Linked DNA regions of Sus scrofa. The protein of the gene in region 2 interacts with the protein of the main gene of each other region in a pairwise test. Links are inferred from orthologs where the notes say so. Each region holds a gene or a part of one and is shown on either strand. Other genes may lie near its edges.

What was found.
Region 1: the proteins of NUDT3 (region 2) and ASB13 interact in a two-hybrid assay, tested with the Homo sapiens proteins (2 studies listed by BioGRID and IntAct). The link is inferred for Sus scrofa from reciprocal best matches to the Homo sapiens genes NUDT3 and ASB13.
Region 3: the proteins of NUDT3 (region 2) and RPLP1 interact in a two-hybrid assay, tested with the Homo sapiens proteins (2 studies listed by BioGRID and IntAct). The link is inferred for Sus scrofa from reciprocal best matches to the Homo sapiens genes NUDT3 and RPLP1.

Annotation. Positions count from the first base shown.
Region 1 is NC_010452.4:65,286,465-65,296,364, reverse strand, and holds part of ASB13 (ankyrin repeat and SOCS box protein 13), read right to left. Parts: exon of another isoform or gene 9,665-9,900; coding exon of another isoform or gene 9,131-9,664; intron 8,460-9,130; coding exon 8,336-8,459; intron 6,738-8,335; coding exon 6,550-6,737; intron 5,404-6,549; coding exon 5,253-5,403; intron 2,684-5,252; coding exon 2,549-2,683; exon of another isoform or gene 462-2,548; coding exon of another isoform or gene 5-461; exon of another isoform or gene 1-4. Other genes in the region: uncharacterized protein LOC106505208, read left to right, coding at 9,131-9,664. UniProt on the Homo sapiens protein: May be a substrate-recognition component of a SCF-like ECS (Elongin-Cullin-SOCS-box protein) E3 ubiquitin-protein ligase complex which mediates the ubiquitination and subsequent proteasomal degradation of target proteins.
Region 2 is NC_010449.5:30,345,551-30,355,450, forward strand, and holds part of NUDT3 (diphosphoinositol polyphosphate phosphohydrolase 1), read right to left. Parts: intron 5,918-9,900; coding exon 5,739-5,917; 3' UTR 1-5,738. UniProt on the Homo sapiens protein: Cleaves a beta-phosphate from the diphosphate groups in PP-InsP5 (diphosphoinositol pentakisphosphate) and [PP]2-InsP4 (bisdiphosphoinositol tetrakisphosphate), suggesting that it may play a role in signal transduction.
Region 3 is NC_010443.5:167,290,557-167,300,902, forward strand, and holds RPLP1 (60S acidic ribosomal protein P1), read left to right. Parts: upstream 1-5,527; 5' UTR 5,528-5,669; coding exon 5,670-5,741; intron 5,742-6,468; coding exon 6,469-6,543; intron 6,544-7,244; coding exon 7,245-7,362; intron 7,363-7,585; coding exon 7,586-7,665; 3' UTR 7,666-7,708; downstream 7,709-10,346. UniProt on the Homo sapiens protein: Plays an important role in the elongation step of protein synthesis.

The DNA.
Region 1 (9,900 bases), on a different chromosome or scaffold from region 2:
TCACCGTCAGAAGCCTGATTTCTGAGCAAAAGCGGATTAGAGTGGACCCAGCACCGCCTTAGGAAACGAAGACGAGGGCTGTCCCATGCCCGCCAAGCACCCAGCGTGATGCCCGGACGGGGTGGCGAGCACAGGGGCTGGGGATGTACTTGCTGAGGCGACAGCAGAGACACGGGTGACCAGCTCCTTCTGGATGCTCTCAGCACAGCGAAGCACTTACTGCCAGGGATCAGATTAAAAATTACCCCGCCCAAAGCAACTGGACTTTCACCCTCAGCACAAATAATCCTCAGCTCAGCAGCTTGGTCTGGAAGTCCAGGCGACTGCCACGTGTGGTCTGCACACAAAAGACCCACGGCCTCTGCACCCACTGGGGGAGGCACCACGGGGCCCCCCAGCCCAGCTGGGACCCTCTCTGAAATCTCACGCAGAACACCTGCTCTGTACATTTCTAGAGACATGGTCCGCAGCTCTCGTTAGATGTTCCAAGGGGGAGTTCCCACAGTGGCACAGTGAGTTAAGAACCTGACTGCAGCGGCTCCAGTCGCTTGATCCCCAGTCCTGTGATGCCGAAAGCTGCGGCTAAGATTCAGTCCCTGGCCCGGGAGTTTCCATGTGCTGCATGTGTGGCCATAAAAATTAAAAAACAGATGTTCCGGAGTTCCCGTCATGGCGCAGCGGTTAACGAATCTGACTAGGAACCATGAGGTTGCGGGTTTGATCCCTGGCCTTCCTCAGTGGGTTAAGGAGCCGGCGTTGCCGTGAGCTGTGGTGTGGGTCAAAGACACGACTCAGATCCCACATTGCTGTGGCTCTGGCATAGGTCGGTGGCTACAGCTCCGATTAGACCCCTAGCCTGGGAACCTCCATATGACACAGGAATGGCCCTAGAAAAGGCAAAAAAAAAAAAAAAAAAAAAGATGTTCCAAGAGGTCCGTGACCCACCCCACAAAAAGCTAAGAATCCCACTTTAAAAAAGAAACACGGAGTTCCCGTCGTGGCGCAGTGGAAACGAATCCGACTAGGAACTATGAGGTTGCAGGTTCGATCCCTGGCCTCGCTCAGTGCGTGAAGGATCTGGTGTCGCCATGAGCTGTGGTGTAGGTTGCAGACGTGACTCGGATCCGGCATGGCTGTGGCTGTGGTGTAGACCCGAGCCTGGGAACCTCCATATGCCACGGGTGTGGCCCTAAAAAGACAAAAAAAAGAAACACCTGCTGTCTTCTTCTTCTTCATGTTTGAGATTTGCCACGGTTAACAAATAGTTTTCTTTAAGAAAAAGAACGCATGTGATCCAGGAAGGGGTGTCACAGGAGACCACCTGAGGTCAGAAGACAATCAGGGGTGACGTCCGCCGCAGAGAGCTGGCAGAGGGGCTGACCCCACAGGGACCCCCAGGAGCAGCCCCCTCGTCCCTCACGCCCACCCCAGGGAGGGAGACTCACTCCATAACTGAAGGGTTGAGGCCGTCGTGGCCATCGCCGTGCCCCCCACTCCTTCCAGCCCATCCCCTGAGCTCCCATTCTGCGGCCTGGGGCAGGGGTCCTGGGAAGGGGTCCTCTTTCTGTTTCTGAACCATGTGGGTTTTCTCCCAGGCTGCTCAGAATGAACGAGGTGGCCGAGCTAAAACGTTCCCTCGGCACAATATTTGAGTTGGGTTCAGAACTTCCTGTGCGGATCCCAGCAGATCAGCCTGTGGCCAAGTCTGGCCGAAAGGACTGGGAGAGGACTGGACACAAACCCAGTTGGGGCCAGTGGACACAGGAAGCTGTGAGAGCAGGTCACTCTCCCGGGATGAGGACGCAGTCAGAAGGCTCCCAAGGCCAATGCCTGCAGGGAAGCCCCCTCTGCTCAGCCCATTTCTCCCCAGTAGGGATGCCGGCCTAGGATGGAGGGAAGGGGGAGCAAGGCAGACCCATGAACTTCAAAGGGGGCGAGTTCTTGAGGACACGGCTGAATCCGGGGTCGGAATGACCCTGAAACCTGCTCTAGTTCTGACGCTTTCGGTCTCAGCTGGTTTCCTTCTGCTTCCAAAGGAGTCTGCTTACCGAGGGGTCCTCAGGAAGCACAAAGGTCAAACCCCGACTCGATGCCCTCCTCCACCCACAAGAAAGGAGCCAGAGGAAAACGCCCTGCAGAGCGCGGAACCCTAACCGCAGATGCCCGACAGAAACTGGATCCAGCCACCCCACGACCAGCCCGGCTGGAAGGCCTGCAGCCGCTTCTAATCCAGATATCTTATCTTTGCATAAGAAACAAAAACCACTCCAGGGACCAACCCTATGCAGAGCAAATTGTGTTCTCCAAAAAGCCTTAGAAGTGGTGCATTAAAGTGAGTGAGACTCACTAGGAGAAAACTACGTATAACTTATGCTCAAAAGGCTGTCACCTGGAGAGAATTCATCTTTTTTTCTCTTTCTGAACCGTTTGGGTTTTTTCCTGAGTTGCCCCGGAATGGACGAGCTAAACCCAACACACCTGCCGTGAGCAGAGCGGGTATAAACACTGCGCACCTGCGCTGGGCAAAGCAGGTATGAACAGAACGCACCTGCGTTGAGAAGCACTTTGACGCAGTCCAGATGCTCGCGGGCGCAGGCGACGTGCAGCGGGGTCCCGAAGTGGCAGTCGTGCGCTTCCAGATTGGCCCCAACGTCGATAAGAAGCCTCACACACTCAGAACTTCCTTAAAAGAGATGGAGCCAGGAGAAAGGTGTCAGAGTCACACACATTTGAAATAAGCGTGGCAGACAGGCGCTGGGACAGGTAAGCCCCCAGCTAGGCGGCAGTGGGAGAGGGGGGAGTGGGACGACTCCCCAGCCAGGAGCTGCCCAGGCCCCAGGTGGCCCTGGTGAGCAGGGGGTGGGTGCCTCCCCTGGGGAGCTCAGAGGGGGCCCTGAAGCCCACCCGGCATGAGAAACAGAGGAAGGATGGGCACGGCCAGGCCCCAGCTGAAAGTTGGGGTACCAGTGTGGACACAGGGAAGACTTCTCACTGCCCCTCAGCCCTCGGGGGGAGAGAAGGGGCTCCCCACCTCTGGCTGCCCCCCAAGCTGCAGTCAGGATGAACTTCCCTAAACTCCCCACCTCGTGTCCCCCTTCCCCCCCAGTGGACAGCTTTCCAGGTTGTTTCCTGGATCTGCTGCAGCATCTCTAACAGGGGCTGGGGCTGGGTCTACGGGTGGGGCTGGGGTCTGTCTCCGGCTCTACTCCCTCCCAAGCTCTGTCATCTCGTCCCCTGGTCATGCTCGGTGGTTGGTTCCTGAGTCTCCAGCCCAAAAACCCAGCCCCACCTCTCTGGCCTGGCGCCTGCCATTCATTCCCATGTGTGGACGTCTCCACCACCACAAGTGAGTCGGCCTTGACCCCGTGCTCTCCTCTCCTTTACGTCAAATCCTCATGTTCTTCCCCCAAAGCGCTCCAGGCGAACCCATCCCTCTTGGGCTCCACAAGCTTTGTGCAGTGACAGCCCCCAACACATCTCACTTCCGAGGTGCGTCCCCCCACCATTTCATGGAAAGGTGCAGAGGTCCCCCCCCCCGATATGCCCCTTTGGCATGGGGATCCTTGTGAGCCGAAGACAGATGAAGAAGCCAGTGGAAGACTAACTCTCTGCCCTCCCCGCTTCGCCCAAAAGTAGGACAAAGGTAAATGTGGGAAGGGTCCCCTCCCCTCTCTGCCAGGAAGGACAGAAGCTAATCACGAGGACGGCTCTGAACCCTGATCAGCCGGAGCCACCACTGAGGCGTCTACACAGCAAACCTTACTGACAGGCTTTCCGTCCCAGTGGTTCCCCTGTGTATTTGCCTTCCCACAGCTTGCCAGCTCCAGAAGCTCAGTCCTTTTCTTGGTCCTGTCACTGCTCTTTGTTAAGATACTACATTCATCTTCGCAGGAGGAACTCCCCCGTGGCTCAGCAGCATAAGGATCTGGCGTTGTCTGTGCTGCAGCTCTGATTACAGCTGTGCCCTGGGAATTTTTGTGTGCTTTGGGTGCAGCCAAAAAAAGGGGGGTGCCATATGAACCCAAGTTCTAACCACCCTTTGCCTTGGCTCTCCTGTGTGGGTGTGCAGGGCACACACAAACCCACTTTTGCTTGTTCATCTTTTTTTTTTTTTTTTTTTTTTTTTGCCTTTTGTCTTTTCAGGGCCGTACCCGAGGCATATGGAGGTTCCCAGGCTGGGGGTCTAATTGGAGCTACAGCTGCCATCCTACACCACAGTCATAGCAACAGCAGATCCCAGCCACGTCTGTGACCTACACCACAGCTCCCGGCAATGTCGGATCCTTAACCCACTGAGCAAGGCCAGGGATTGAACCTGCAACCTCATGGTTCCTAGTCGGATTCGTTTCTGCTGCGCCGTGACATGGGAACTCGAATTTTTTTTTGTTTGTTTGTCTTTTATTAATTGATCCTTGTCAGTCTAACAGGCAGGGCCCTGGCCAATGAACCTAAGGCAGGTGAAGGAAGAAAAAACAAACTTCCCTCCCCTGCCTGTATGTGGATGGCCACTAGACAGACCTTTCCAAAAGGTGGTTTTGCTGTCATCATTCAGCATCTGCGCAAAAACCTTCAAAGCTGCCCGTAGTGATCCCCAGTGCCTGCGGGTGACAAAGGTGACCTAACTGTGGGAACGGGGGTGCAGGCAGCAGGGACAGTGGGCCTGCGTGGGGCCCACACCCCAACAAATGCAGCCAGAGCGAACACCGTGCCAGCCAAAGCCCAGGACACAAGCATGCAGCCCTTGCTCCAAACAGTGGAACCCAAACTCCCTAGTCTGTCATCTGAAACATGGCACCAGCTGGTTTCACCCCAAATGCTGGGTTCTACCTGCTGTAGCCCCTCTCTGGGGCCCTTGTGACCCAGCAAGACTGGGGTGGCCTCAACCTCCACTCTCGGAGGGCGCTGGAAACCCACCTGCTCCCTGAGCTTCAGGGACCAGCTCCCCGCTGCTCTGAGAGCACCCGCCTCCCTCGGGGATGCGCCTGGACTGCCTCTCCCAAGAGATGGGGCCGCAGGGCAGGAGGTCAGCAGCGCCGGGTGAGGGGCACAGAGGGGACCTGCCTCCAGGGGTGGCATCTCGAAAGGCAGTGACTCGGCTGGAACTGGAGCCCTGCCTCCAGCTCCCAGCCCCCAGCCCTGCCCGAGGACAGCGTCTCCAGGACAAAACGCCTAGGATCCAAGAGCCACATACGGCCTGGGAGCCCATCACCAGCGATGGTGGCCCCTCCAGCCCGCACTGCCCCCCGACTCACCGCTCATGCAGGCCTCGTGGAGCGGGGACGCCGTGTAGAGGGGGGGGTTGACCTTGGCCCCGTAGGAGAGCAGCAGTTTCACGCACTCCACGCTGCCTGAGGCGCAGGCGTCACAGAGCGGGGTGCTGCCGTCAATGTTGCGGGCATCCACCTGCGTCGAGGCAGAATCCAGCGTCAGGGTGGGGGAGGGCGCAGGCTGCTAGCGTCCTCCACCCAATGTACCATCAACTCTGCAAACACGCTGGGTCATTTTTCCAAGAAGTTCTTGGGTTCTCCGTCATTTGCTGGGGCACCGAGCCAGGCAAGGCCGTTCAGAGACAGGAAGCAGGCGGTGCCTACAGGCCACGCAGGTGCAGCGGGCCTGCTGTTTGGGCTTTTTTTTCTGTCCCGGGTTAGACTGACTCAGCCTCGCTCCAGACACCACCCCAACTCCCAGTGAGCCCTGGCGGGATGTGAAAAGGGGTTTTCACTCCAGCCTTCGCCAGGAGGAGGCCCCAAAACTGTTTAACAGGCCTCCTCTAGTAGGAAAACCACAGGGCAGGAAAAAGGCAACTCCCTAAACTGGCAGGTTCTGCTTAGAATTGGTCCAGATTCAGCTGTCATTTGGGTTTGTGTTGAAGGTTGTTTGCCCCGTCTGGAACGGCCTTGATAGCCAAGTTCTGGAAAAGTAATAGTGGACAACCATCCTTCTTCTGCCCCCATCTCTGTCCAGGGGTGGGCAAGCCAGGCCAGCTCCGACCAGTTCACCCAGCCCACTGTTAAATTCCCAGCAATTCCATCAGCCGGATACGGCCAGAGCGCCAGATGGGCTGGGGTTTGGCAGCTACGCCAGGGCAAGCAGCAAATAGAGATCTTGCTCTTGGGCCTCTTACCTTCCGTCCCAGAGCTGGCGTGCCAGCATCCCACTTAGCCTCATCTCGGAGGCCAGACAGCTCCTGCAGCCAAGGCCCTGCCAGGCCTGCAGGCAGCCTGCCTGTGTCCACGGCCTGCCCGGCCCACGGGCATGCAGAGCACGCCACCATGTTGCTAAACCATCCCTCTCTCGCCACCAGTGACCTCCCAACAGCCAGGTCCATGAGCATCCTCCGCGCAAGGCTGCCATAAAGATGGGCCGGCCCTCCCTCCTGCCTGGGCACCCACTGCAGCCTACTCTGATTTCCTTTCCCCCTGCCCCTTCCCAGCCTCCTCTAGTGGTCTCCTTTCTTTCTGTGTGTTTGCATAACAGAATGCTCTTCGAAGGCCTCTGGAGCTGGTCTGTCCAGCCCATCCTGGGGCTTGGGGTCTCAGGGTGGCTCACCTGGGCCCCGGCAGCCAGCAGCAGCTGCACGCACTGCGCCTGGCCCTGCAGGCTGGCCGCGTGCAGGGGCGTGATGGAGTCCACGGTGACCTGGTTGACGCAGGCGCCGCTCTCGATCAGCTGCTGCAGCTGACGCGTCTCCCCCCGCTGGGCCGCCTCGTGCACGGGGGTGCGCTCCACCCAGAAGCCTGGAAAGGAGAAAACCTAGCACTCAGGCCCTGCCCCGTCTGCCCAGGGCAGAAGGACGTGCGTACCCCAGGGACCCTGCACGAAACCCAAGCCACTGTACACGTGATCGTGGGATTGGCCCCAATACCCCTACTCACATTCTTGAGGGACCCCCAGTGCCTGGGGTGGCGTCCAACCTTCCAGCAAGGTCTAGATGGTGCTTCGTGGTCTGGACTTCGCTCGCCTCCTTGACTGGTCTCCCACCCGCCACTGCCTCCCGCAGCCCCCTCTCCAGCCACACCGCTAGCTCAGTGTGGTTTCCCGCACACACACACACCTGCCTCTCTGCATATGTTCTCTCTGCCTGAGGAGCCCACCTTTGCCCCCACCCAGCCAGCCATCCTGCAGTCTCCTGTTTAGATGGTACAGAGTCCGCATGGGCCCATTTGAAACATCGCCTCTGGGAACAGCCCTTGGCATTTACACGGCCCCGCCTCCTGGCCTGGGAGAACCTTGCAAGTAGGGGCTTGGGTTAGTTATCCAATTTTAGCAGACTCGCGGGATTTTCTACCTACAAAATCGTGTTGTCTGTATGTAAATCAATACAGAGGCATCCGCCTTTCTAATCTGTGTGCCTTTTTTTTTTTTTTCTTGCCTAATTGCTTGGCTTGAATGTCCAGCCCTACATGGAGTGGCAGGGCTGGGAGGCACCTCCTGGCCTTGTTCCTGGTCCTGGAACAAAAGCTTTCATTCCTTCACCACGAAGCGTCTTGTGAGCTGTGGGTTTTCACAGAGCCCTTTATCAGGCCAAAGAAGTTCTCCAGTGTCTCGTGTGTTGAGTGTTTTCATCATGAGAGGGTGTTGGATTTCGTTAAGTACTTTTCTCTGCATCTATTGCAATGATTGTGCCCGCTTTCTTTCACTAATTCTATCTCAGGGGTGTACTGCACGGGTTGATTTTCAGATGTTAAACCTACTGTGCAGTCCTGGGAGAAATTCCACCTGGTTATGGTGTATAATCTTTTCATGTGATGCTAGATTCGGTTTGTGCATATTTTGAGGATTTCTGAGTCTATATTCCTAAGGGTCATTTTTCCTGTGGTTTTTGTATGTGTCCAGTTTGGGTATCCGTGTAATACTGGCCTCAGAGAATGAGTTGGGAAGTAGTCTCGAATTTTTGGAAGAGTTTATGAAGAACTGGTATTAAATCTTTAACTCTTGGGTCAAATTCATCTGAGTGGGCCTGGGCTTTCTTTTAGGTTTTTAAATTACTAATCCAAGCTCTTCATTTGTTACACGTCCTCCCAGACGTTCTAATTTTTTCTTTGTTTTTTGAGTCAGTTTGGGTAGCTCGTGGTGTCTTTTTAGGAATTTGTCCACTTCATCTACTTTATCTAATTTGTCGGCATACAGTTGGTTATGAACCGAACTGCGTCTCCTCCCGCCCCTCCCCCGGCCAAAATTCCCATGTTGAAGCCCTAACCCCAAACATCTCAAAATGTGGCTGTATTTGGAGATGGGACCTTCACAAAAGTAATTAAGTTAGAGCCAGGCCCATCAGGTTGGGCGCTAATCCAGTCTGACCAGTGTCCTTATGAGAAGAGATCGGGGCACATACCAGGGATGTGTTTGCGCAGGGAAAAGCCCCGGAGGACATGTGTGTATACACCACATCTTCCTAATCCAGTCGTGTGTCGATGGACATTTGGGTTGTTTCCATGTCTTGGCTGTTGTGAATAGTGCTGCAACGAACATGCAGGGGGCATGTGTCGTTTTCAAAGAAAGTTTTGTCCGGATATATGCCCATGAGTGGGACTGCGGGGTCGTACGGTCGTTCTATATATAGTTTTCTCAGGAACCTCCATGCTGTTTTCCACAGTGATTGTACCAATTTACATTCCCACCAGCAGTGCAGCGGGTTCCCCTTGCTGCACACCCCCTCCAGCACGTGTCATTTGTAGACTTTCTAACGATGGCCATTCTGACAGGTGTGAGGCATGTGAATTTCTAACAAGCGCCCAGACGATGCTGATGCAGCCGGTCTGGGAACCACACTTTGAGAACCATGGCTTCAGACATCCCTCCTCCCCACCTCTGGCCTCTCTCCCCATCCCCCTTGTCCCCCTCCCTCTCGTCCTAAATAACACCTACTTGTTCCTTTCCTGGCTGAAATCTAGTCAGTTTTGCAGACAGCCTTGCCCCATCTCAGCCCTGCCCACGCTGAGTTCGACCATCGTCTGTGCCCCGAGGGGCCGCCGTTTGTCCCCACCAGGCCCTACTGTGCCACAGTCCACACCTGCTGCCCACCGCACGGCGGAAGTGGACTAGAGAGTGGTCACTGTCGGGGTTCCCAGAGCCACCCACCCACCCAGACCAGCAGCCTAAGCTGATCACAGATTCCCATTTCCCGTAGAACGTCGGACCCAAGGCCAGCGAATACGTGGGGCGAGTGCTGAGGGGCTCCCGGCTGGACACAGCCTTCCCGCCTCCCCGGATGGGGCCGGGAGTTGAGCTGGGACCTGAAGACAGACGAGAAGCACCAGGTGAGTCACTGCCCCTGGGGCCCGGAGCCCCGAGCCCTGGCTCCCTGTGCTGCGAGCTTGAGGTTCCTTCACCGGCTCGGCCAGGTGCGCACGAACCCCGCGTGCAGACTCCCCGAACCCAAACTACATTTGCACAGCGAACGTCTCAGCCCCTGTCAGAGCAGCTGGGCTGCAGGGCAGCCTTCCTGGCACCCTTCAAACGCCGTAAGTGGCAGCAGAGCCGGGCTATGCTGACACATCCTTCCCGGCAAGGCCCCCCAGACGGCATCACAACACACCCCTCTCAGGATACGCCTTTCCTTGTATTAGTGCTGCATTCTATGTCCCTGTCGCTCAAACTCCTTCCCCTCGGCCAGAGGTCCCAGGTCTTAGCCACAGCGCTGTGTGAACCTTGTCCCGGGTGAATTTATTTCCTGGGCGGTTGATAGCCTCCTGGGTTCCGTGTGGATGTCGGTCCCTCCTGAGACCCCGTCCCCCCAGCCATCCCGCAGCCGCCCAGCCTGCAGGGGAGCGGAGTGGTGTGGGGCTCAGGGTCCTCCAGGGCCAGCCGGCTCGGGTCCGAGAACCAGCGCAGCCATGTCTCAGCTTGGGCGAGAACTAGCGTGTGAAGTGGGATAGTGATACCGTTCATTCACCACCG
Region 2 (9,900 bases):
AGCCTCTATCTTCTCTGGAAAAAGTCCTATCTGTTATGTAGCCGGAAACGAGGAACCAAACTAGGTGTTTTCTTTGGATCATTTATTAGTGATATATTTTCTCCACAACGAACAGATACAAAACAGACCAAGGTTTAACCCTGAAATGCTGTTTGTTTGTTTTTTTTTTTCAGTGGGACAGTAATGAGGTGAAAGAGGATACCTATCTTCTATTGCAGCTTTAGGTTAGTATTTTCAATCTAGCACAAAAGTGTTCAGAAAGATAGGCTTACTTCTCGTACGGATTTATGGTCAATCTTAACTGGAAAAATGATTTCCTTAAGGTGAGGCACCCCACCCTACACTATGAAGAGGGGAGTACAGTCTCAAGGTCCAGTATTGAGATTGAGGCAGCTTGCTTTTCTCCTAAGGAGTTCCAAAGACTTTTAAGATTTTGATCTTAATGCCCGATTGGGACCTCAAACTCAGAAGAGCGATTTCACTGTATCGTTAAAATATTCTCTGAAAGGTGCACCCCACAGATGGTAAGCAATTTAGTTGGTAATTGTTCCAGAACCCAAATTTATGTTTCCCAATTCATAGATTAACAGAAACTTCACATCTGGCCTGGCTGCAGTGGGGAAAGGATGGGTAGCAGAGCAAAATGGTGATGAACCTGGAAAATGACAATGCTGCTGTTTCTGTATCTTTTAAAGCCCATCTTCAGGGGTTTAAATGCCTTTTTTGGTGTTCCAGTGGCCACTGTTTGGGGTTAGAATTGGGAATGTAAAGCAAAGGAAACCTAGAGTATTTAATTAAACAACTCATTGCTGGCGGAACAGAAGCAATGACTTGCCACCTTCTAGATATTAATCTTGCTTTTCCAGCCAAAAGCACTTCCTTCTCCAGCAGAGTCCCCCCTGGTGTGCTGACTTGTGAATTAAAGTGGCTTCCCTTTTCACTCCCCTAGCCAAATGGATGGGCTCATTTTCTAAGACAATCTCAAGCTCACCAAACCATCACTATAAACAAAGCTTTAGGGGAGAGAGATGCCTTTTCATCTGGAAAGCTTCATACTGCAGGGACAGAGAAAACCAGATCATGTGACGGCCAGCCTCTGCTCAAGGGATCTGTTCAAAGCAACACCAAATGGGATATTCTCCTCTCTCTAATTTTTAAGGGCACTAAGAGAATTGATTAACCTGAAGGTGAGAGGTATCATTTTTTCAGATGTCCTGATTAGGCTTCTCATATCCCTGAAAGGTTATCAGCTAAAGCAAAAATATTGTCAAAATGTGAAGCTGCCTTTTCAGAGGCCAGAGTCCTTTCAGAGGCTTCTGGCCTCCAAAGAAGAGTCTGCCTAAGCTCTCCAGGTTCCCAGGACCCCTGGTGACCTCAGTCAACCTGATGCAGTATCTTCTAACGAACTGCAATCAGTGGATAGCACTTCACGGTTACCTGAAGAAAGCAAATGTCTTACTGCTTTAGGTAACAAACAAGGTGACATGGAAAACACAGCTCTCCTGGAAGGTGGGGTCTCCGTCACCAGGCTCACTCCAAAGCACCGAGGCTGACTCTGGGGTGCTTTCTCCCATATTCCAGTTGAGGTGGGTGCCCTGATGACCAAGGCTAAGGCCACACTGCCAGCTGCACAGCCTTAGGGAGATAGGCTCCATCCTAGCCGGGCTCAGAAAAAACGACTGCCACCCTGCTGGACACTATGAACCACAAGGCCTCAGGTCTGACTTGGAATCTTCAAGAATGAGAACTAGAAGAGGCATTTGCATTATCTAATCATCATCAAATAATCTCTCCCCAGGGCTGCTTGGGTTGACTGTCTTGCATGTCTCCTATTTTTTTGTGAAATGCGGATGGGACCAGGATGAAGCTGTATTATCAGTCATAGCTAACTCTCATTTCTCTTAAAGCAAAAATTCATCCTACTATGGAGATTTCTCCAGGTATTTCTTCTAATTCTAAATCTACTCTCAACTCAACCAGGTCGGGCTTAGAGAATAATTCAGAAATCTAAAAATCATAAAGTCGTGGCAAAAATCACATTGTGGTTATCAAATCCTTCTTTTAAACTAAACTAAAAAAAAAGTGGCTCAGGCTAAGCTCTTTTAAAAAAAAAGATCAAAGTAGGGAGGCAACAAAGGTATTAACGCACAGCACTGAGACGGAAATGACAAATACATTAAGTTCAATGTGTGAAAAGCACACTCAGGTGCAACAGAAGACTGATGACTCGCTGGTGCAAGAGGTTTAGAATAAACCCCTGCACAGGGTATGGGAGGAGGAGAAAAGGGAGGGTGAAGGAGCAAGCAAAGTTCCATTGGGAACTTTTTCCTTCTAGAATTCTGAAAACAAAACGTGACCTTTTTTCTTCTAAGCAAGTCTAAGAGATTTTTACATGGGCCAACTCCTAATACCAAAACAGAGAACAGTTCTCTGCCATGAAGGAAGCTGACTATGTGGCAACGCGTGTGCAAAACTTCAAGCACTCTCTGAGGGCGGTGACCCGCTCTGCTCCCCGGAGGCCACGGGTAGTAGCAAGGCCTCAAGTGCCTCACTTTGCACAGGACTCGCAATGCAGCGCAGAGGGCAGAGGTCCTGCCGCCAGGCCAGCGTCCAGGCCTTCCTCAGCCTCCCAGGGGGTGATACTCCCACCCTCTTTGATCCCTCCAGATGGCCTCGGCTCAGACTCAGTGAGGGAACTCTCCGAGCAGGGCACAAAACAATCCATTCATTAACTTTTCCATCCGGTTATGTCTGCTATGAGAAAAATCAAGACTCCTGTGTCACGGACTGCACTGTTCTGAGAGCCTACCTAAAGATCTAAACCCTTGGAGCCCTTACCCACCCCCCACCTCCCAGTCCTGGTCCAACAAAAACAAAAACAAAAACAAAACAAAAAAAAACAAACAAAAAAAAAGAAAGGCATGATCTCACTAGTGTTTCCCAAAGGGCTGTAATTTATAAACTAAAAACAAATTTTAATTAAAAAAGAAATCCACAGCTCTCTTTCTCTATCCTGAGTATGGTGCACTTTGAAGGACACTCCGGTAACAACCAAGAATCTACGACATGCAAATTCACTGTGGGAAAGACTTTATATCTGCCCTGAACACAGGAACCTGCTTCTGTCAAGCCCAAATAAAATGAGTACTTACAGGATTAATGGCAAATCAGTGTCACTGGAATATTCTGCAAGCAGGGTAAACTTTGTGCTTTCTTTTGTCTCTCCTCACTCTCTCCAGGGGAGAGAGAAAGGTTGCTGCAATCACGGGTCTAAGCAATCTACCCCGGAAAGTGGTGCCTGCTACGCCAGTAAAGACAGCCATGGTGTTTATGGTGCCAGGGAGGGAAAACACCAACCCCTGCTCCTCAGGATCCCAGTGCAACAGAAAACAGCACCAGTTTCAACAATTCTAGTGTTGGACAAAGCCTTCTTTTGTCAGTTAGGAAAGCATCAGCACAATCTCTCCAGTAACCGCATTAATGGGATCCATTCACGTCACTAAAAAATACTTCTTGGCACAGTTCACTTTCCTGACCCAAAGACGCCAACAACAATCCAAACTGGATTCTGTAGGGTGGTATACTGTTACACCAGCCCAGTGAAAACATCTTCAGATCATTAAAAAAATGCACAAACTATTATTAACACTGCAATTCCTATTTCAGGACCACTGACTATTTTCCTGCAAAGCACTTTCAATCCATATCACAAAGGAAGAATTTATTTGGAAGAATGTGTTTTTGGGGATTGCATTTAGTGCTCAGTTGAATTTATTTTATTTTCTTCTTTATTTGGCCAGAACCTCAGAATGCCCTACATCAGGTAATAAGCAGCAGTGTGTTCGTTTTAAAGTAGGACATGGGAACAGTGAGCTGGCCTTTAGACTCAAATCCCATGGTGCTATCTATCCACTGGGACCCTTCCTTGGGAGCAAAATTTCATTCCCAGAGGTAGAGCGGTGTCCTAAGGAAACTGCTGGCCCTGTTTCTGGCTCCGTGTTTCAAGACTAGGAAAGAAGATGCAAACTGAGAGCAGAGAGCAAAAATTAAAAAGTTCATCGACTGATGTCCCCCAAAATGCTGAACGTTAAATGACACAGGCCTACCACATACATACATTTTAGTGGGAGGGAAGAGCAAAAGGTTTTCAAAGTCTGAGTATTTATTAGAATTTTTAAATAAAGAGAACTACGATTTTAATTTCACATCTTGGCTATGTTCTGACAAAGGAGGTGCCACTAAGAGTATAGCAACAAACTCCTGTCCCCAGCCAGGGACCGATCAGTGCCCCCCTCCCGCACCCGCCCCACCCCAAGACCCTTTTCTGCATATTTTTCAACTAAACAACACAACTGGCAAATGAAACCAGCATCAAACCTGTAGCAAAAACCAACAAGACAGTCTGCAGTGAGCCAATGCACTATGTAGCTGTTCTGGAAAGGGATTAAGCCTCCTCCCATACCACTTCTCAGTGGAGGACGGACCTTTCACATCCCAGGGGGGAGACAAATTTACTATTTCTGAGCATGCTCCATGGTGCAATTACAAGTGTTGTATACCTGACAAAGGCAAGCAAAGACCTGAATTCTCCTCCTGTGTACTCCTTAGGAACTTAACACGGTTACTCAGAATGCGGACGGGACTGCACAGCTGCACTCACCAGGTACAGCCGGATGCTTCGGAGCACAAGGACAACATCCAGTTCAGCACGATGTAAGGCATGTATGTACAAGGAGAGAGGCCGCTGTCAGCGGTAAGTAGCATTATGGAAAAAATTCCAAACCAGCAGGATAGAAACAGTGCTCGATGCTCCAGTTTTTTAGATAGTAATTCCAAGAATCCAGTTCAAATCCCTATGGTTAACACGTAGGGAGGAATACAATTTCTATCATTGTTTCTCCAGATCTGAGCTGAGGCTTCGGAATAAAAAAGAAAATGGGTTTCTTCCTGTTTCTTTCTTGGCGTGGAAACAGCGTCGGGAAGAGAAGGCCATGAGTCCTGGGAGCACCTACATGAAGGTAGCGAAGCTCTCCCTGCACCCACATAACTACGGCCAAGGCCGGGGGAAAAACAGAGGGCGGGGAAACTCACCTAGCCACTAGCATCAAAAACAAAAAAGGTGAATTAATTGTGAGGCTCTCCAGAAACACCCCAAATGTAAAAAACAAAACCTTTAAGAAGTAAACAGTTAAATTCCCTTCCTACAAGCCATTTATTTACATATTATATGCCCAGTATATAATGTGTAGATAAATGTATCCTGCAGTGAAAGTGACCAACCTACCAGACTTAAGAGCACATTATAGGACAAATTCTTGAAAGGTTTCATCTCATATTGGTATCTTTTAATAAAAAAAAAAAAAAAAAATTAAAAATCAAAGAAAAATATCTGGCCAGGATTGGAATGAGGCAAACAGGAACACTTCAGAATCCAAGGCAGAAGGAAGGCTGTTTGCCTCTTCAGAGGATTGAAGGGGTGTGGAAAGGGAGACAGATCATGCACAAAAGTACTTACAAATTACATACCCAACCCCCACCCCCTCAATAAAAAGAGAAGAAAAAGCCCGATCACTTAACACCAAACAGCAACGTTATCAATAAACCCTTTCTCTGCTGCCCATCATGCCTTATTTGAAAGAGGAGGCCTGTGAGGAGAGGTGAAAAGAGCAAGGGTGAGAGGGAAGATCTGCACTTCAGTCTAGTTTCCAATTTCCATTTCTCTTACAGGAAGTCTTCAGTCATCTAATGCCTGGCATCGAGCTCTGAGCAGACACTGAGTACGTGGTGGCCACGACCGGGGTGCCGTTGTTGGCTGAGTAGCCTTGCCTCAACGTTTCAAAATACGACGCCTGCACCGGTTTGTGATACTGCAACACTTTTATGGCATCTTCTATTTTAAACCATTCCCTCTTCCTTCCTGTGGAGGCAGCGAGAAAAAGAAGTTAGTACAAAAGGGAAGCAGTGAGGGAGTTCCCCTTGTGGCACAGCGGAAACGAACCTGACTAGCATCCATGAGGTCTTGGGTTTGATCCCTGGACTTGCTCAGCAGGTCGGGCATCAAGAGTTGCTGTGAGCTGTGGTGTAGGTCACAGATGCCGCTCAGATGCCGGATCCCATGTTGCTGTGGCTGTGGTGTAGGCCAGCAGCTGTAGCTCCAATTTGACCCTTTGCCTGGGAACTTCCATATGCCGAGGGCGTGGCCCTATTTAAGGAAGGGAAAAAAAAAAAAAAAAAAAAAAAAGAAGGGAAGTAGTAAAAGGGTTCTGATCTGATAACACCCCCCCCCCGCCCCCCGCTTTTTAAGGCCACACTCTGCATGCGGAGGTTCCCAGGCTGGGAGTCTAATGAGAGCTACAGCTGCTAGCCTACACCACAGCCACAGCAACTTGGGATCTGAGCCGCATTTGCGACCTATACCACAGCTCATGGCAACACCGGATCCTTAACCCACTGAGCGAGGCCAGGGTTCAAACCTGTGTCCTCATGGATGCTAGTCAGGTTTGCTAACAGCTGAACCACTATGGGAACTCCTCTCTTTTTGATTTTATTTTTATTATTATTTTGTCTTTTTGTCTTTTTAGGGCCACACCTGCAACATGTGGAGGTTCCCAGGCTAGGAGTCGAATAAGAGCTGTAACTGCTGACCTACACCACAGCCACAGCAATGTCAGATCCGAGCTGCATCTTCGACCCACACCACGGCTCACAGCAACACCAGGTCCTCAACCCACTGATCAAGGTCAGAGATGGAACCCGCAACCTCACGGTTCCTAGTCGGATTCATTTCCACTGCACCATGATGGGAACTTCCTCGACTTTAAATTGAAGTATAACTGACCAACAACACTGTTAATTCTAGGTGTATAACATAATGATTTGATATTTCTCTAAATTACAAAATGATCACTATGATTAACATTTAAAAAATATGCATTATAAATACATTTTTCCTTATGTTCTTTTCTTACAAGAGTGATGCAAGCACAGTTTTTTTTTTTTTTTTTTTTTTTTTGGTCTGTTTAGGGCCACACCACAGCTTATGGAAGTTCCCAGGCTAAGGGCCGAATCGGAGCTGCAGCTGCTGGCCTACACCACAGCCACAGCAATATGGGATCCGAGCCGCCTCTGCAACCTACACCACAGTTCATGCAACACCAGATCCTTAACCCACTGAGCGAGGCCAGGCATCAAACCTGCATCCTCATGAATACTAGTCAGATTCATTCCCGCTGAGCCACGACAGGAACTCCTATTTTCCAGTATATTTAAAAAATGTTTTTCAAACGTATGCTTTAAAATCCTTTATTATTTTTTCTCTTACAAAAGTAATAAAAGAACATAGGTTAAAATTGAGAAAACAGGGAAAAAAGGTGTAAAGAATAAGATAATTACCTGTAATCTTATAAACCAGAATACCTTAGTGTATTTGCCTTTCTTTCATTTTACTTGAAGACACAGTAAATCAACAACTATGACTAGGATCATGCTGTAAGGTGCTCCACATCCTCGGAGGCTCTGCTGATGGAGTGTTGGTGCCCGAAACATGGACACTGAAGCCAATATGCTGGGCTCCGATCATATCACTAGATCTAATGAACTGTGTAGCTTTGGGCAAGTTACTGAACCTCTCTGTGCTTCACTTTCCTCATCTAAAAATAGAGATAATTATTTCTATCTTGTGAGATAGGACCTATCTCACAGAACTGTTGTGAGAGCTAATATGTAAAGCATTTGAGGAGTTCCCGTCGTGGCGCAGCAGAAATGAATCTGACTAGGAACCATGAGGTTGCGGTTCGATCCCTGGCCTTGCTCAGAGGGTTAAGGATCTGGCGTTGCTGTGAGCTGTGGTGTAGGTGGCAGACGTGGCTCGGATCCTGCGTTGTTGTGCAGCTGTAGCTCTGACTGGACCCCTAGCCTAGAAACCTCCATATGCTGCGGGTGCAGCCCTAAAAATAAATAAAGAAAGCAAGCAAGCATTTGAATAACACCAGGCACAGAGTACAAGCTGTAAGAGTTTGCTTTATTATTATTACTGTTATTGCTTCTTTTCTCCTTCACACTGTTCCTCAGGCATTTTCTATGTTGTGAGAGTATGACATTTAATAGCTGCATTACATCATAATATCTAGCGTGGATGTTATGTCATTCACTTAACTATTTCCCTATCACTGGAAATCTATAGCCTGCAACTTTAGTTATTATTTTTTTTTAAAGCTCTCAGGGAAAGATCCCTAGAACTGAGATTATAAGAAAAAAACATCTGAACACTCTAGGGCTTGTACATAAACTGCCAAACTGCTTTCCAGAAAGGATCTCCAATCCTGACTGTGTGTGTTGAAATGTAGGTCTCACCACACTCCTGCCAGCCCTGTTAATTTTCATTTGTCATGGCCACTTCTTTCTTTCTTTCTTTCTTTCTTTCTTTTTTAGGGCTGCAGGTATGACATATGGAAGTTCCCAGGCTAGGGGTCCAACTGGAGCTACAGCTGCCAACCTACACCACAGCCACAGCAACACAGGATCCAAGCTACATCTGCGACTGATACCACATCTTATGGCAATGCCAATCCTTAACCCACTAAGCAAGGCCAGGGATCAAACCTGTATCCTCCTACTGGTAGTGATTGTTACTGCCACAACGGGAGCTCCCACTGTCATGGCCAATTAGTTATGTGAAAATCAATACCTCATCTTTGTTTCACTTCAAATTTCTATTCTGATGAGCTTTAAGTAACGTATATATAATTCTATACGCTGTCTTCATTCACCAACACAATTGCATAAGCTCTTTCCCATGGTATAGCGCTTTCATAAGTATGTATTTAATAGCTGCATAACATTCCATCAGGTAAATGGAACTTAGATCACTTATTTCGCTGAGATGTACATTTAGGACCCAATTTCTCATCTGAAAAAGGCTTATCTGAAGGAAGGCTCACAGGCTTATTCCCCATATTTTAGAATATTTCATTAGGGTCAATTCTCAGAAGTGGGAGTTCAGGCGAAAGGCTTGTTTGGATATTAAAAGAGTAATGGTACCTTAAAAATTAGTATCACAAGTGTGTGACTCCTGCCTGAAAGAGCACTCTGAGGACAGGACCATGCCACACTCATCTCTGTCACTTTTTCAGGCCCCAGTACCAGCTGTCAAGGAGTCTATTTTTAATACCCTCACTGAATTTATTTATACTTAAGCTTACTGCATTCTTAGCAAATACAAAGCAATTAAGAGCTGAAGGGCTAGGAAATAACCAGATCAACAGAGAGAGGCATGGTGGCAAAGCACATACTAACAATAAAGGGAGAGGTTGGGCAAGTGAATTACATCTGTCTGCCAATTTATAACATCAATTAAATATCACACCTTTCTAGAATATACTTTCCTTCAGAGCCAACAGATTAAACTATGAGCCAACCACTAAATCACAATTTCTGCCCAAAAGACAAAATATACATACCACATGTGATCCGAGATCAAAGAAAACAGCTCCTTGGGAGTTTCTGTCGTGGCTCAGCAGAAACGGATCTGACTAGTATCCAGGAGGATGCAGCTTCCACCCCTGGCCTTGCTCAGTGAGTTAGGATCTAGCGTTGCATAGGTGGTGGATGCGGCTCGGATCCCATGTAGGCTGGTGGCTACACCTTCAACTAGACTAGACCCCTAGCCTGGAGACTTCCACATGCCACGGGTGCAGCCCCTTCCAAAAAAGAAAAAGGCTCCTTGGGAGAAAGCTGGGTGCATCTGAGGGGTAAAATGAATACAGCTGGAAACTACTCCCACTGCTCTGTACCCGCTATGCAGCTCTGGAGGGATGGGCTATACCACCAGACCAAGAGTTTTCTCCAACAATATGAATAAGCATAACAAGGAACAGCCAAGGTTCTGCTCTCACTTGGGGT
Region 3 (10,346 bases), on a different chromosome or scaffold from region 2:
TGGCACCACAAAAGACCCAGAATTTCCAAAGCAATCTTGAGGAACAAAAACCAAGCAGGAGGCATAACTCTCCTAGACTTCAGACAGTATTACCAATCTACGGTAATCAAAAGAGTATGGTACTGGTACAAAAACTGACATAAAAACCAAAAGAACAGAGTAGAGAACCCAGAAATAAACCCAGACACCTATGGTCAATTAATCTTCAACAAAGGAGGCAAGAATACAAAATGGGAAGACAGTCTCTTCAGCAAGTGGTGGGAAAACTGGACAGCAGTATTTAACTCAATGAAACTGGAACAAACCCTCACACCATGCACAAAAAAATAAACTCAAAATGGCTTAAAGACTTAAACGTAAGACAACACAACATAAAACTCCTAGAAGAGAACATAGGCAAAAGATCCTCTGACATCAACCACATAATTGCTTTCTTATGTCAGTCTCCCAAGACAAAAGAAATAAAAACAAAAATAAACCAACGGGGAGTTCCCGTCGTGGCGCAGTGGTTAACGAATCTGACTAGGAACCATGAGGTTGCGGGTTCGGTCCCTGCCCTTGCTCAGTGGGTTAATGATCTGGCGTTGCCGTGAGCTGTGGTGTAGGTTGCAGATGCGCCTCGGATCCTGCGTTGCTGTGGCTCTGGCGTAGGTCAGTGGCTACAGCTCCGATTCAACCTCCCTAGCCTGGGAACCTCCATATGCCCCTGGAGTGGCCCAAAGAAATAGCAAAAAATAAAAAAATAAAAAAAAATAAACCAACGGGACCTGGAGTTCCCATAGTGGCACAGTGGTTAATGAATCCAACTAGGAACCATGAGGTTGCGGGTTCAGTCCCTGCCCTTGCTCAGTGGGTTAAGGATCTGGCGTTGCCATGAGCTGTGGTGTAGGTTGCAGACATAGCTCAGATCTCCCATTACTGTGGCTCTGGCGTAGGCCAGTGGCTACAGCTCCGATTCGACCCCTAGCCTGGGAACCTCCATATGCTGCAGGAGCGGCCCAAGAAATGGTAAAAAGAAAAAAAAATAAAATAAAATAAAAAACCTAATTGAATTTACAAGCTTTTGCACAGAAAAGAGAACCATAAAAAACCCAAAAAGACAACCTATGGAATGGGAGAAAATAGTTTTGAATGAATCAAATGACAAGGGCTTAATCTCTAATATACAAAAGCAACTTACACAACTCAACAGCAAAAAAGCGAACAACCCAATGGAAAAACGGGCAGAAGACCTGAAGAGACATTTCTCCAAAGAAGACATGCATATGGCCAACAGGCACATGAAAAAATGCTCCACATCACTAATTATTAGAGAAATCCAAATCAAAACTACAATGAGGTACCTACCACCTCACACCGGTAAGAACGGCCATCATTTCTAAGTCTACAAATAACAAACACTGGAGAGGGTGTGGAGAAATGGTACCCTCCTTCACTGCTGGTAGGAATGTATACTAGTACAACCACTATGGAAAATAGTATGGAGGTACCTCAGCAAACTCAATATAGAATTACCATATGATCCAGCAATACCCCCAGCATATATCCAGAGAAAACTTTCTTTGAAAAAGATACATGCACCTATACTCACTGCAGCACTATTCATGATAGCCAAGACATGGAAACAACCTAATTGTCCATTGACAGACGAATAGATTAAGAAGATGTGGTATATACACAATGGAATACTACTCAGCCATAAAAAAGAACAAACTAATGCCATCTGCGACAACATGGATGGAACTAGAGACTCTCATACTAAGGGAAGTAAGCCAGAACAAGAAAGACAAATACCATATGATATCACTTATATCTGGAATCTGATACATGGCACAAATGAAACTATCTACAAAAAAAAAAAAAGCAGACTCATGGATGTAGAGAACAGACTTGTGCTTGCCAGGTGCGGGGGAGTGGGATAGACAGAGAGTTTGGGGTTCGTAGATGCTAACTATTGCATTTGGGGTAGATAAGCAATGAGGTCCTGCTGCATAGCACAGGGAACTTCATCTAGTGTCTTGTGATGGAACATGATGGAGGATAATGTGAGAAAAAGAATGTATATATATGTATAACTGGGTCACTTTGCTATACAGCAGAAATTGATAGAACATTGTAAATCAACTATAATAGAAAAAATAAAATCCTAAAAAAAAAGATACTGATGAGATACATATATTCCATTCTCATGACGAAGAATACTGTTAAAATGTCCATATAACCCCAAGCAATCTACAGATTCAATGCAATTCCTGTCAAAATTCCAATGGCATTTTTCACAGAAATAGGACAATCCTAAAATTTATGTGGTACCACAATATAGCCAAAGTAATCTTAACAACAAACCTGATTTCAAACTGAATTATATAGCCATAGCAATCAAACAGTATAGTATGGTTTGGGATAAAAACAAACACAGATCCATAGAACAGAATAGAGAGTCCAGAAATAAATTCATGCAGAGTTCCCATCATGGCACAGTGGCTAACGAATCCGACTAGGAACCATGAGGTTGTGGGTTCAATCCCTGGCCTTGCTCAGAGGGTTAAGGATCCCGCATTGCCCTGGCTGTGGCGTAGGCCGGCAGCTATAGCTCCAATTAGTCCCCTAGCCTGGGAACCACCATACGCTGTGGGAGGGGCCCTAGAAAAGACCAAAAAAAAAAAAAAAAAAAAATCAAGGACACGGCAGGATAAGGATCTAGTGTTGTTGTGAGCTGTGGTGTAGGTTGCAGATGAGGCTCGGATCCCACATTGCTGTGGCTGTGGTGTAGGCTGGCAGCTACAGCTCCAATTAGACCCCTAGCTGGGAACCTCCATATGCCGTGGGTTTGGCCCTAGAAAAGACAAAAAAAGACAAAGAAAGAAAGAAAGAAAGAAAGAAAGAAAGAAAGAAAGAAATTCATGCATAAATGGTCAATTAATTTTTGAGAAAGTAGCCAAAACTATACAATGAGGAAAGGATGGTATCTTTAACAAATGGTGTTGGGAAACTGGTCAGCCACATGCAAAAGAATGGAACCAAACCACTATATTACATCATAGACACAAATTTAACTTGAAATGGATTAAAGAATTAAATGTAAGGTCTCAAACTATAAAAGTCCTAAAGGAAAACCTAGGCGGTAAGTTCCTTCCCATTGGTGATGACTTTTTGGATCTGACTCCAAAAGTAGTGAAGGCAACAAAACAAAAACAAATAGGTAGAAAGACATTAAATTAGGAGTTCCCGTCGTGGCACAGTGGTTAACGAATCCGACTAGGAACCATGAGGTTTCGGGTTCGGTCCCTGCCCTTGCTCAGTGGGTTAACAATCCAGCGTAGGCTGCAGACGCGGCTCGGATCCCGCGTTGCTGTGGCTCTGGCATAGGCCAGGGGCTACAGCTCCGATTCGACCCCTAGCCTGGGAACCTCCATATGCCGTGGGAGCGGCCCAAGAAATAGCTAAAAAGACAAAAAAAAAAAAAAAGACATCAAACTAGTAAGCTGCTTTTGCACAGCAAAGGAAACCAGCAACAAAATGAAAAGGCAGCATATCAAATGGGAGAAGATATCTGCAAATCATATATCTGATAAGGAGTTGATATCCAGAGCATGCAAAAAAAAAAAAATACAACTCAATAGCAAAACCCCAAACAATAGAATTAAAAAATGGGCAGAACTGAATTGACATTTTTCCAAAGAAGACATATAGATGTCCAACATTAAAAGGTGCTCAAAACTATAAATGTAATAAAATTCATTAAAAAAAGGTGCTCAAAATCACTAATCATTGGGGAAATGCAAGTAAAAACCAGAATGAGCTGTCACCTCACACTTGTTAGAACGGCTATCATCAGGAAGAGAAAAGTGTTGGTGAGTCTGTGGATAAATGGGAACTCTTATATACTGTTGGTGGGAATGTAAATTGGTGCAAGAATTATGGAAAACAGTATTGAGATTCCTCCAAAAATTAAAAGTAGAAGTACTATAAGATCCAGAAATTCCATTTCCAAGTATGTATCCACGAAAAACACCAACTTGAAAAGATACCTACACCCCATGTTCACTGCAGCATTATTTACAATATCCAAGATGCGAAAACAACCCAAGTGTCTGTCCACCAATGGATGAGTGGATAAAGAAAATGTGATGGAACACTATTCAGCCATAAAAAGAATAAACTCTTGTCATTTGAGACAACAAATATCAACATACATCTTGAGGGCATTATGCTAAGTGAAATGAGTCATATAAAGACAAATACTATACGTGGAATTAAAAAAACCCAACCCCCCCCAAACAAATCCATTGCTACTGAAACAGATTGGTGGTTGCCAGAAGTGGGGATGCTGAGGTGAGTGAAAATGGTGAAGGGGGTCAAAATTTACAATCTTCCAGTTATAAAATAAATAAGGCATGAGAATGCAATGTATAGCATGAGTACAGTTAATAATACTGTATCATATTTAAAAGTTGATAAGAGAGTAGACCTTAAGAGTCCTATTCGAAGAAAAAATTTTTTTTAATCTAAGTATGGTAATGGATGTTAACAGGACTTGGTGATCACTTTACAATATAAACAATATCAATTAATGTTGTACACCTGAAACTGTCAATTATACCTCAATTTAAAAAATTTTAAAGCATACCTCTCCGTATGAACCCAACACCAGTTTTATTAGCTTCAAAAGACACAAAACGGCAATACAGCACCTAGCCAGAGAGGAGTTAACTCAAGAAATTTTTTAACATCGCAGCTGCAGTTTCAAGGCATTTCCACCCAATCATGGGGTCCCTTAGTCACAAAAAATAAAGTTGAAGTGGAAAGTTCCCCTATATTCCTAATATACCTTTTATGCTTTGGAAGAAAAAACAAAGAAAATTTACTCATAATCCCCAAACCCATTCCTCTCTGCACGCACAAGTAGAAAGCACTGAAGTTAGGTTCCCAGATTCCAAATTCAGGTTCGCAGTAACTGCGGAATCTTAGGTGTTACCAGCCTACACCTTAGTTTTGCCAGTTGCAAAATGGAGATAATAGTACTTACCTTTTATGCTGTGTGAGGATTAAATGAATTCTGGTAGAGTGTGGTTCGGTGCTTGGAACATAGTAGGCGCTCAAATGCTACGGCAACGTTGCAGGTTTCTCATTTTCGAGTACATTCCCTTAGTATCTTATCCGAGACTGCGCTAAGCCCCAGAACCTCCAGGCTAAAACCTAGCTCCCGCCTTCAGCTGGACACTGCCGGCTGGTGGGGACGCTGGCGACGGCATTAAATGACTGCTTAAGTAGCAGAAAGGATTAATGCCTATTAACCTAGCTTTCTCCTAAAAGTATTTCTACTGTCCCCAAATCCTGAGTTTTTACCGAAACCCAGCGAGTTAGCATCTTCAGCTGCCTAGCAACTTTCTGAACTTGCAAATGAGCGACTTATGTTTTTGCGCAGGCGTTTTGGGTGAATTGTAGCGGGAGGTCCTAGCACCGCCTCTTCCGGCAGGCGCGGGCGCCGATTGGTCCTCGTGACCAGTATAAGAGGCTGCGCGCAGGCGCGAGGAATCCCTTTCCTCAGCTGCCGCTAAGGTGCTCGGTTCTTCCGAGGAAGCTAAGGCCGCGTTGGGGTGAGGCCCTCACTTCATCCGGCGACTAGCACCGCGCCTGGCAGCCCCCACCTAGCATTGGTCCGCACCATGGCTTCCGTCTCGGAGCTCGCCTGCATCTACTCTGCCCTCATTCTGCACGACGATGAGGTTACGGTCACGGTAAGTGTTGGCCTGGGCTGGCGGCGAGGCGGCCTACGGGTGGCCGGCTCCCCACCCTCGAGGGCGTCGCGGGCAGGCCCTTAGGGCTGGAGCCGCGGCTATCCACACCACGGCACAGGGCCGGAGGGATCGGGCGCACGTGCCGGGCGGCCTGGGTCTCGGCCATGTGCAGGCCCGGGAGGGAGTGGATTTCACTTTCGGCGTCGCGCTCTGGCTTTGAGAACCTTTATTTGGAGAAACTTGTGCAGCGCGTCGGCAGGCTCATCTGTAGCTTGTTATATCCCAGGACTTTTTATACCTCTTCTTGGTGTGATTGCTTTGCCTGTGGTTCTGTTAGTAGGCCTTGTGGGGCTTGGCCGCGTGGTGTGGAGGGGAGCACTCGAGCCCTGCTCCACTTCTGGCCTTGCCTCGCGACTTAAAATAGCTGCGTGACTTGAGCAAGACCCAGCCTGGGAAATGGCAGGGATGGACTCGCCGCCTAGTAAAGTATCTGGCATACAGGAACAGAGGCTTTTTTCTTTCTTTTTTTTTTTTCTTAGTGACATTCTTCACAAGAGTGTAAAAAACGGTCGCCTTAAGCCTAGGTGCAGTGCCAGTAGGATATTTGAACTGGTTAAACTGGTTTTGTACCCAGGTTTTGAGTCATTTGCTTTCAATTTGCAGTATTTTGGAGACATGTATGGAAGCTATACATTACTCTGATGGATTGTTATTTTATTTGTTTTAGGAGGATAAGATCAATGCTCTCATTAAAGCAGCAGGTGTAAATGTTGAGCCATTCTGGCCAGGCTTGTTTGCAAAGGTAAGGTGATGGCGGCAGAATGATTTGGAGAAACTAATTTTGGAAGACTTACTGATTTATTAAGTCAGGTATTAATTTAATCTCCAGGAGTGCCAGGAGGCCCCATGTTCCCCTGGACTTGTCCAAGTATAGGCAGTATTTCCTCACATTTCTATCTCTAAGAGCTAATTAAGTTTTTGGTGTCATGTCTTATTTTCTGGTCTCAGACTTCACTTTCTTCTGTTATAAAACCACGATAGAATATGTACTAAGCAGATAATCCCTTCATAAAAGGATCACCCAGGAGATAATAATATTTGTGCTATTCCAAGTAAACTGCCACCATAGAAATTGGTGCGGTGGTCTTTTACTGAATACTTAAAGACTAGTGAGTACAGCATTCCTACCCAAGGAACTTGGAAAGAATTCCTAGTTTGAGTGTTTTAAGGAAGCTTAGGGTGTCTTCCAACTCGTTAAGTATTTTGGGGCCAGTTTTTTCATCTATAAAAGTAAGCAATTCAGTGACTCTTGATTAAAGTATAGCTGTCCTGTCTAAGTAGCAAACAAAATGTCACTGGCAGATTCCAGCAAAGGTGAAGAAAGAGAAATAGGTACAGTGTTGGGATTGATTACTAAGTTCAAAAGGAGTTCCATTTTTCCCTGGTGGGTACTATAAGAAAAGAACAGAACTGAACATTAACCTGTATATGCATGTGTTGCAGGCTCTGGCCAATGTCAACATCGGGAGCCTCATCTGCAATGTGGGGGCTGGTGGACCTGCCCCAGCAGCTGGTGCTGCACCAGCAGGAGGTCCTGCCCCAGCCACCACTGCTGCCCCAGGTAGGAAACTTGTTTCAGGAGGGAGGAGTGTGGAGATTGAGTATTATGGGCAAAATTGTTCTTCATTTGCTAAGAGTAGCTGATATATAGAAATCCTAAATCCAGAGGCATAGTTTGATAAGGGAAGTTAAGGGTATTTTTGACCATGTCAGTTGAAAGGCCTGGAGTTTGAGAGGTAATTGACTTTATATTAATTTTTTATTTTTTATTTTTATTTTTTTAGCTGAGGAGAAGAAAGTAGAAGCAAAGAAAGAAGAATCTGAGGAGTCTGATGATGATATGGGCTTTGGTCTTTTTGACTAAACTTCTATAACATTCGATAATAAAAAGCTGAGCTATTCACTGATGTTGGTCTTGATAATTCTGGGGGTGTTGCTATGTAAAGATAGCCACTGGCTTTGTCTTTTGCCATGGCAGAAACTCTGCAGCATCACAAACTGTATGGGGAGGCAGGAGAAGGTTCAGATTGTCCACATTACCCACATGACTTCATGATTACAGAGTTTATCCTCTATACCTGAATCTGAGTTAGAGTCACTAGACCTCAGATTTAGAGAGCCCCTTGGATAATTTCCAAGTGTGATCCTGGCTAAAAATTTTTGACCTGTGCTGAGCAATATGAATTAGAATATTAATTGTCACATCCCTTGGGTTTAGTTCAACAATACTGAAGGAGTGGGGGAAGTTCAGGTTAAGGTCTCAGTTATACCAAGTGAATGAAGCCAAATTTCAAACCTGTATTTTGAAAAGCTAACAAGTAGAATAGCTTTTGGGGAGGATGTGACAGAACAATGTCAAGTGTAAATTGGTTCACTTTTCAAAGTGCCAGGGACCAACCTAGGACTTGGATTTATAACATCTTGCCCTTACCTCTGTGCATTTATTGATAAGGACATGAAGTTGAAGGGTTCACAAAAAGCAGGGTTTTCTGGCCCCAACTGTCTTCACTCCAATATACGGGACCATTTGTTACCTATAGCTCTTTGGCAAGTGGCTGGTGTGTCCTGTAAAATCAAACCCATATTAGTATTGCCCAGCAGAAACTACCTATCAAGAGACATCTCAGAATGTTTAAAGCAGTGAAAAATCTCTATCAAACAAAAGAGATGGTCCTAAATTATCAGTGGAGATTACAGTTACAGAGGAATTCTTAGTAACAGGTTAAAACCCAAATCCATGGAGGATTCAGGGTGGATCCCTGGCCTCCCTCAGTGGGTTAAGGATCTGACGTTGCCTTGAGCTGTGATGTAGGTCAGCTGCTGTAGCTCCCATTTGACCCCTAGCCTGGGAACTTAAATATGCTGTGAATGTGGCCCTAAAAAACAAGAAAAAAAACTTGACGCTCCTGTAAACTGTTACACAGTTGTTTGGTGTTTTGTTTTGTTTTTGTTTTTTTTTTGTTCTTATCACCTGAAAATGGGAGTGATCCATACGTGAAAAGTAAAGCTTTAAAAGCACCTTTTGGGAAAGAGAAAAACTAATTGAAGTGAAAGAATTTTTTTTTTTTCCTGTCTTTTTAGGGTTGCACCCGCGTCATATGGAGATTCCCAGGCTAGGGGTCCAATCAGAGCCACACCTGCCAGCCTACACCACAGGCATAGCAACACGGGATCTGAGCGCATCTGCAGCCCACACCACAGCTCACAGCAATGCTAGATCCTTAACCCACTGGGCTAGGCCAGGGATCAAACCCGTGTCCTCATGGATGATAGTCAGGCTCACTAACCACTGAGCCACAAAGGGAACTTCGAATTAAAAGTATTTATGTGATAAGACAACTGGATAAATTGCTACAAATTCAAATAGAATGTGTCAAATTCTTTTTTTTTTTCTCTCCTATAACTTGAAGGAGCATATACAGTAAAATTCTGAGGGAACAGTGTGAGCTAGGTAACTATTGGTTTGATTGGATGGCACTTTATAGTTTAAAAATAACATTCACAGATTCTTCCATTCTGAACTTGACACGTCAGGAGAACTTAAGTAGCCCTGTTCTATATCAAGACCCAGTTCCTGGTAGAGTTTGGGTGCCTTGTCAAGTTCACACAGCTAGGGCAGGGCCTGCCACCTCAGCTGTCTCAGTCCAGCATTTCTTTTACCAAACCTGGTATCTCTTCCACACACATGCTTTTATTTTTCTTCTCTGTCACTTTGCAAGCCATTTCTCAGTTCCTTTTCTTTGCAATCAAGCCTGGGCACTAGCTAGAGATAGACAAGGGCTGCCTTTAAGAGAAGATTGATGTTTTTAGTTCTGGAACAGCCAGGAGATGCCCGTTCAAGTCAGAACAAACGCTACACAGCATACATCATGGTAACTGGACTGTTGACATCAAATTCAACAATCTGGAACCCTAAAGTCAGGACACAGGGTCAGGGACCATCACACATATTTTCACAGGATTGCTCAAATAGTTACGGTCTTCCCAAGAATCCTCCAAGTTCTACTCAATTTAACTTACTGACACTTCCAGTCCTCTTATTTGTATACTTTGAGAGTTATTTTGATGTCCAATTAAAGTAAGAAGTGTGTCTTTCACCTTCCAGATCTTTGCACTCACTATCCCCACCTATCCCTGGGCCATTGACTACTTAACCCAGTTAATTCTACTTATTACACCACAGGAAGCCCACCCCAGGCTATACATATTAAATCTCTGCCCAAGTTCTCTGAATACCACTGCAAAGTAAACGTGTAATTGTGAATTTCTGGTAGTTTGTTCAACTGTCTTCCTCCCTCCACACAGTGAGTTGGGGGATCGGGCTGTCTGTGTTGCTCATCTGCATCTCCAGTACTTAAGGCAACACTTGGCTCTTGTTGGCATTTACTATTTGTCAGAGCCCAACCGTCTTTTACACAGGAGGAACGGGAGAAGGACCTTGTTCAGCAGCAGTGACTGGCAGGACCACAACTGGAACCCAGGTCTGGACCAGCAACTATCTACTGCAGCAGGCCTGCCCCCACTGCCAGCCCCTTTTAATCAATT